Linked DNA regions of Bombyx mori. The protein of the gene in region 2 purifies or fractionates together with the protein of the main gene of each other region. This does not show direct contact. Links are inferred from orthologs where the notes say so. Each region holds a gene or a part of one and is shown on either strand. Other genes may lie near its edges.

Region 1 (4,324 bases), on a different chromosome or scaffold from region 2:
CTCGGCGTCAACCTTTAAACATTGTTTATTCAACCCTTTCCTCGTTAAAGTACCTATAAAGGGCACGCGTGACTACCTGTGATTTTGGCGTTTTGTTTGCATATAGATTCAATAGTGTTTTTCAGTTTGGTTTTAGTACGAATTACTTTCGACGTAATGTCTATATATATAAAAATGAATTGCTGTTCGTTAGTTTCGCTAAAACTCGAGAACGGCTAGACCGATTTGGCTAATTTTGGTCTTGAATTATTTCTGGAAGTCCAGAGAAGGTTTAAAAGGTCGATAAATATAAAAATGGTCGGAATTAAATAAAATTAAAAAAAAAATGTTTTTCCTTTGATGTGTCCCCCGTCGGACGGATTCCTTTTGTTTGTTTTAAGTTAATTTTATACAAAAGTTTAGGTCTTTTATTTATCGATTGAGGTACTACGAAGTCTGTCGGGTCAGCTAGTATTAAATAAATAGTATATATATGGTATAACAACGAATCGCGAGTGTGAAGTAAAACTTATTTCATGGAAATATAAAACTATCAAAGAAATAAAAAATACAAAAATTCAATTCACGTACAAAATTCGAAATCGAGTTAATAGTTCGTCATTTCCACACGTAAGCACGATACGTAATTGATGTTATTATGATTTTCAAGTAACAACAGTCTATTTATTTTGTGGCCTCACGAATAGAATTTTTATGGAATACGGACATTAATAACTCGAGTGACTAGTAAAAGGAATCACATGATTATTGATATTGGCGTTGTATGTACGCCTCGTGATATCGAGTGTTATGTTTGTGTACAGAATAAATGCTTTATTCGGTAATTTAATTAGCTCTCTTACATCCTGCAAAGTTTCATCCAAATGGATCTATTCTGTATGCATTCCGTTTTCGGTGTGTACAACTCTATTATTATTTTATTAGATCTAGATTTTTCAGAAGAACATTTTTTACGGTTTCCATTGATTTTTTAATTTAGCGTTTACACTAAACGATTAAGCTGAAATTATGACAATACATAAAACTTTTGACAATTTTGAAGTAAAGATTTAGGGATTTATCAAAATCATCTGTGTTATTATTATTATTGTTATTGTTTTACAGGATATTTTCAAATGGAAAGTTGATAAAGTTAATAATTATAACATATACAGGGCAGTCGAGCCAACCAGGCCTGGTTTCAGAAACCCATAGAGACACCCACAACATGACGCATCCAACCATAATAAGTTGCTCGAACTGGATCCAATAGTGACTATCCTGAACGCCTTCGAACTAGAAGCAAGATGGGGCATCTACCCTCTACGGATTAACAACATGCTATATCACTCTCAAAATAGGAAACTTCTTTCAAAAACAACGTTACAGGGTGTGTTGTTTCAATAGGTTGAGGGAAAAATCAATAAAACAAAAATGTTTTTTTTTGAACTCCAAATTATTCGAATAATTAAGGTTTTTATGAGTATACTTTAATAAGCACTGATTGAAGTCTGTGCTCCGTGACTACATAACGCATTTGACCCGTCAGATATAAATAAATACACCTAATTATGCGAACTATTTTTTATCAGTTGAACGAATTTGAACCTGATTTTATTTTGTGTAAACTGTCCGCAGTAAAAAATATATTTCTTTCACAAAAAAAAACTGTTTGTAATTGTAATGCAATCGATGTAACCGCGATAAAAAAACCAATAACAGTTCCAGATAAAGAAATGTGATTTCCATTATTTTTTTTGCGTTTACCAACTCATATTTCGTGAAAATAAATTTATTTGGTTTCCTATTTCAAGAGTATTATTGCCTAATTCCTCACATTGATAAATTGATCGAAAATCTTACAAATCTTCTTAAAAAAGAGTACCTTTCTTTTCGAACTAAAATTAGTTATGTACTAAGAACTACTAGACGAAGTTCTATTTACACAATTTAAAGAATGCAAACATCGAGAGATCTCTGAATGAACCGCTGTCTGAACGACTGCCAGAATACGGATCACTCTCGTCTGATTTAGTGCCACTCTTTAGGTCATGACCATTCTCATGACCACTCCGTCACACATCTGGCCAAATTCAAAAACATCTTGATTGACGTTTCTTTACGAATATATTTTTAGATTGAAACATAAAAGTGTAAGTGATAGAGTAAAAAAATTATGCGCATAACTCTCTCTACCTTTACCATAAAAGCGTTATCGTAATTCATATTCTAAGCACGCGCCGAAGATCACGAGCCGTGAAACCGATTCGTTTTCCTCTCGAACGAATCGCACGTGACAACACGATGACATACAACGCGTAAAAAAAAAAAACTAAACAAGCGTTCAAAACATAAACGTAAACTCTGCAGTAACGTAAGTGAGAACGCAAACAAACGCGGCCTTGAACGTTAAGCAGATCGCCTGAAAATACTCCGGCGCGTGGAAATAGCCGCGATGAAAATACGAACACGTGATGCTACGTACCTAGTGAACAGTCGTATGGAGAAAATCGATGGTGCTTGCCACTCGGCGACCGGCGGTTGACTAAGCCACTGTGTCAGCAGAACGCGCCCCACCCGAACGTCAGCCCGCCTGATTCGATGTCACGGTTTGCAATTAAAAAAAATACTATACACAGTTTACGCACTAAAAATATAATTGAAACACTTTAGATTGTGGAATTCAGGCGGCTTGAGTGAGGTTGTGATCGCGATCGGCCGCAGCGCGGGTCGACTAGCGCGTCTCGTCGAGTCGCTGTGGAGCTATGGACTGTCGGATCGGAGTATCGGAGCGAGGCAGCGGCGACCGACGAGGTGCCTCCCTGCCCCCGCTGTGACGTAGGCATAGCCCGCGATGCTGGAAATTAGCAGCTTCCCGAGCGAGGGTCGGAGGATGTAGGTCACGGGGACTGGGCTGCACTTGCCCGCTCTACCGTGATGCTACACTTGACAAGTTTAAGGACATAACTAGGCTTGATTAGATGCATGCCGTTATCAAAACTATGCCGTCAATATAGATAGCTACGGGACCAAAACTCGTAGCATGCAATAGCGTAGACATACAAAAATATAATTATTAATGGAACAATCGCAATTTTGTTTCGAATAACTTAAAATTTTGGGTAAAGACAACCGAGACGGAAAATTTCTTTTGAAGTGCGAATTGGAAAAGTTTTCAGACCTCTTTTTTCGGGTTATAGTCAAATAAAAGTTGGGCCGTCATCGCTGCGGCGTTTATCAAATTACAAAGGAAAAAGGTGCTTGTGTAAGGAAAAGTGTTAAATCCCGTTTTCTTGGAACACGTACCTTTTTCGTCCAAGCAAACCGTATTTGATACGAGGTCTATTTTACCCAATAATTGTTCTAAATAAAACACAATTATGATTTAATTGAAACTACTTTTACGGTTTAATATTGCGTGTATTATCCATCGTTCCGAATAATTAACAGTTTTCGTGGTCAATCGTTCGTGACCACCAGAAACAAGATTATCAAATAATAGTGACCATTGACTGTTTTTATAGAGAGTCTATTTATAATTTGACTGAATGTTGTCACTTTTAGAAATATACCTGAGACCTGTTCACGAAACATTTCCAGGACAAAGGAAAAATAACGTGTAATGAAAATGAAAATAGAGATCCCAGGCCGTAATGTAAGTCTGTGCGCTTAGAACAACCGGCTTATCCCAACTAATATACATAAGGTCGTAAAATTCTAGATTTAATATGATTTTTAATAAGTTGGTGTATAACTTACGAATCTTTACTCTCTTTATTATCTCTTTTTTACATGTTTCAAGGTAACTGTTGATGAAAGGAATAAATGCGGTTAAAAATATCATCCCAAGTTTAGTCTGTCTAAAGATGTTCAGAATAGAAGAAATAAGCAAGTGGCGAGGTACATAGTCACTTTACTTTACATTTTTGAACAAATCAAAAAGCCGTTATGAAATATCGCCATATTCTCTTAAAGCTTTGAAGGCAGAGTTTGATAATGAACGGATTTACCATTTTTGTTCGTGTAAATAACGTATACCAATAATGTCTACAGCACATATGAACAAAACTTAAATGAAACACTAGGAAATTTTTTTCATCTCAAAAATGAGAAATCAGTCATTACGAGTATTCAGTATACGTATCAATAAACACAACAAAACCTCTTCAGGAATTATAGAGACGTTTTTTTTTAAAATTAGATAGTTTAAAATTAAATTAGCCTCTATGTAAAGGAATTTTAAAAGGACGACGAATTACACCCATTTGACAAAATTATCGCTCGAAGTAATCTTAATATGTATACGCTTAAAGAAATCTCGAGCATATTTAAGAAAGACAGCTCG
Region 2 (4,291 bases):
ATGGTAACAGTTGAGCATAAAGAACACAACTAGGCAACTTTCTAAGACTGAGAACAATTTTTGAACTTTGAAGAAATACATGAAAAGATTTAGGAGGAAAGTTCATTTTGAAAGCCAGGTGACAAAAAAGACAGCTTTACATATACTATACTAGCGACCCGCCCTCGCTACGCTTCAGAAACTGTAATTTACTATTGATTTGTCCACTATTTAATGGATATTATTATACATATAAACCTCCCTCTTCAATCACTCTATTTACTAAGAAAAACCGCATCAAAATTCGTTGCGTAGTTTTAAAGATTTAAGCATAGGTACATAGGGATATAGGGACAGAGAAAGCGACTTTGTTTTATACTATGTAGTGATAATGGAGTACTACTTATTTATTTTTTATTAGTACTGGATTATTTGTCATATTTGAGTACTATATTGTTATTAAAATCAGTAAAATGTAGTAGGTAACCAAGCAAATTAAAGTAACAAATTTTTCATAAAAGTAAATAAGTTACCTGACCTGACCTGATTGTTCACTTTAATATTTAAATAGCTTATCTATCTTGATAATTTTTGTTCAACATAAAGACATGGTCATACAGGAATAAGCATATATATCCACATTTATAACATTTATGAGAGTCCTTGTTCTATATAGCAGTTTTCAAAGTTCAAATACCTGCCTGAGGACAGGCAAAGAAATACAATTTATTTGTTTCCATTCAAACACCACCAATTGAACAACTGGTTTGTCCCTTACCTGTAATATCATAATACCTAAAACCTAATTAATAACATTACATGTTTTTTTTTTTTGCATTTCAGTTAATATTTTAAATGCAGTGGTTTTGTTTTTTTTATTAAATAATTTACTTGTTTACCATTTTGTTATTAGACATGAGGTACAAACATATATTTTACAAAATAAATGTTGGTATTTAACAGAATATCAGAGGCAAATCTATTACTGCAGATACTAAGTCTTCTTATGACAGAGTTCATATTTTAGTAGTAGATATGTATGTAGGTATCTGCTAATCAACATAATAAATAATATTACGATTTCAAGAATCTAACAAACACTCAGTATTTTTAATGGGAAATAAAATAAATAGTAATTGCTTACTTAAAGTGGTGTAAATATTAAATTGATTTCCTTAGTGTTTGCTGTCTTCTTTGTTCAGTATTAAGGACAGTTAAAAAACACATGTCTACCCACAATACAATTTATATACTAGCAGTTATTTTCCTTTGCTGTCAAAACTGTATTTTGCTACTTTATTTTACTGAACAGTGTCCAACACATGTTTCCTAGAATCTTTACACACGGAAGTAAAACAGAGCAACCAAACGGAATGAAAATCACTCAGGCAATGTTGCAATAGCAACATGTCAAAAACATGCTTCACGCAATTTACTACTAGTTTAATTATTATCATTTTACTTATTGCTAGGCTAGTTTGTTGAAACAACCATTGATAAAGACTAGATGTGGGGTAATTTCTAACGTGTTTTTCATGTTGAAATAATCTTGCGTCATTTTTAATAACTATTATATTCTAAGTAGTATGATAATACAAATTTAGCAACTGATTTTTTAAAGAAGTTGTATTGAATCATTAGCACAGATAGCACAACACATTATTAATGACCTTCAAATTTTTTTCTTTTTTCTAACCTTTGTTATAATTAATTAACTTATTTATTATATTACATATTATTACTTATATGAATAATAAAATTGTCATACTTTAAAAAAAGAATAAACATTCAACTTTATTTGGTTAGCTTTTTTTTCAAATATTCTTAAGATAAATTAATAATGAATCATAAACGTAATATGTACAGCAGATTATTGACGTTTAACAAATGAAATGCTGAAGGAAATGAAATGGGTGCCACCTATGACTATAGATTTCCGGACATCATTCCGCGGAGATGCGCCACCAGGCAAACGCTTCAATGTAAATCAAAAGTGTCCACAAGAAACTAACGCAGAGCACTTATTAAAGCGATAACGATCGATAACATATCCAAATAGAACAACCCGACGCTACACACACATACAGGCGAAGAGTTCGTGGCTGCCAATATTCACAATATGGCGACAACAGAAAACAAAGAATGATAAAATATGGTAGTTTTCTTACCTGATTCAATTCTTGACTCGTCTGCTTGAAATTTTTCTTGTTTAAATTTACGACGAGATAATGTATATGCGATAAGCTCAACGTTAAAGAGTCCAGGTTCATAGTTCCATTAATGCAAAAACGAAAGCTTCAAACACGTTTGAAGCTTTCTCGATTTTTTATGATTTTCTACGACGAACTTGTGTTCTTTGGTAGTTTTCTGACGAAATGATAATAAACCTAAGCCCAACATCACCAATTTTATTGTTCACTTTGATAAAAACAACATAATTATTATCACCCCACTCAGCAATTTATAAATTAAATTTCAGTAGTAATCAGCACACGATGACGAAAGAACCAAAGTGGCTGCCTGCTGCTTCGTGCCATGTTCGGAAAATTTTCGTGAACGTCCGCAGCCCAGAGAGTTACCATAGAGCACCGACTAGATAGAGATTGGACGTCTCGCAATAGGTAGAGCAAACACTCTCATCTAGAGTTGCTAGGAATAAAATATTTTTTACCGACAGACTCTATGCAACGCATTTTTTAAATTTCTGTGTAGAGCTATAGATCCAAAATTACCAATTAATAGCTTAGTTAAAACCAGATAACTAGAGAAGTTATAATTCGTATGTATTCCTTAGCATATACGAGTACACAGTTTGACGTTAACCATTGAAACGTTACCTAAAAATGAATTTCGTTGTATCACTTTGAATTGACTAACTCGCTAATAGAGAAGCTAATTTCTTTAATAGGTCATGAGTCCGACACGCACATCGGGCAAACATTCATGTGATGATTAAGTTTGTTTGCTTTTTGTTTATGTGTTATAAATACGACGGTGACTTCATCCGCAATAATTACTCAACTTCGACTAGTGCAGTCAGCGATAGGCTATGCCATTGAGACGGTACTGCTAATACTCTAAGACAGTCCGCTGGACCAGAATCAGAATCTACTAGATCGGGACGTAATTCACCGCAAACTATTTGCTCATTAATATTAACATTACGCCATACGCTTAGTATGACACATAGCATCAATTTCCCCAGTTGCATTGTCATATTATTATTGTCACCGAGAGAGGCCACTTAACAAAATGATCTGACTCTATTTTAAAAACAATGACATGACCCTGCTCCACCTAGATCACTGAAGTATGAAACCTATGGAAATGAAACGTCAACAAAAAATGCGTGCCACTGTGACGTCATCTGGCCGCTAAACAAGGCGGTTTTAGTGCTGCCCTCGTCGCCTGCCCCGCATGGGAGGGGTGTGCACCGTGCTGTCGTCGCAAAAATAGGAAACAATTTGTCGTTGCCGAGTGTATTGGCATCGATGCTCGGCGACGACGAGTCGTGGAAGGCGATGCTCGACTTCTGCGAGTGCACCATCTCGCAGAAGGAGGCGGCGGGGCGCGTGAGAGACGCGCAAGCCCGCCGCCGTCGAGCGGGGGCCAGGGAGGCGGATCTCGCCCAAGCCCTGGCCCTCTAAATGTTTCGGGTCCCCTTCATATGTCGGTCTGGGGACCGGCGAAGGGGGCCTAAGAAGACGACGTGCAAGCTGCTCTGCACGCGTTTTACGCAAAAGCATCCGGGTGATGGAAGGCCGGTTATCCTCGACCCACGCTGGTTCTGACCCAGCGGGGTATTCCGTAGGATAACCCATTCAAACCGGCGCCATCTAGACGGGCTCCGGATAGCCTGCCGACCGAGAGGGCTGGTGGTCGTGGCGCCGACGACCGCTGGTCCGGCGTCCCGAGGGGGAGGGTGATGGGAGAGATGTGCTCCGCACTAAACGCTTCACTTTCCCCCCTTTGCCTTTTCATGGGTTCTGTCTCATGCGAGGTTCGGACGCGGGTTGTTGAGCGACAGGAGGTTTTAGTCAGTTCGACTCCAACATGCCCCGCCTTCCATCCCCAGGGGAGGGCGGAAGTTCGGCGATTTCCTCCTGACCAAAAAAAATGCTGCCCAGAAGATTTTAATATTATTAGATTTTATCGATAAACGTTAAAGATATTTTCTTTCTCTACCTTTTACTCTAAAGGTCTATGACCTAGATAGAGTAGATTGATACCTTAGTTATGTTGACATATATGTTTTTTTGTTGCTTAGATAGGTGGACGAGCTCATAGCCCACCTGTAAAATGAAAAGGTAAC

Evidence for each region. The genes of interacting proteins can lie anywhere in the genome.
Region 1: the proteins of CCR4-NOT transcription complex subunit 1 (region 2) and protein Tob1 purify together in Homo sapiens (co-immunoprecipitation; 3 studies listed by BioGRID and IntAct, counting the BioPlex papers as one, with this or other methods). This does not show direct contact. The link is inferred for Bombyx mori from reciprocal best matches to the Homo sapiens genes CNOT1 and TOB1.

The regions. Positions count from the first base shown.
Region 1 is NC_085116.1:12,120,345-12,124,668, forward strand, and holds the start of protein Tob1, read right to left. Parts: upstream 2,810-4,324; 5' UTR 2,465-2,809; intron 1,787-2,464; exon of another isoform or gene 1,105-1,786; intron 895-1,104; exon of another isoform or gene 729-894; intron 1-728. UniProt on the Homo sapiens protein: Anti-proliferative protein; the function is mediated by association with deadenylase subunits of the CCR4-NOT complex. Mediates CPEB3-accelerated mRNA deadenylation by binding to CPEB3 and recruiting CNOT7 which leads to target mRNA deadenylation and decay.
Region 2 is NC_085107.1:17,975,602-17,979,892, forward strand, and holds the start of CCR4-NOT transcription complex subunit 1, read right to left. Parts: upstream 2,808-4,291; 5' UTR 2,250-2,807; coding exon 2,148-2,249; intron 2,041-2,147; exon of another isoform or gene 1,900-2,040; intron 1,235-1,899; exon of another isoform or gene 1,124-1,234; intron 1-1,123.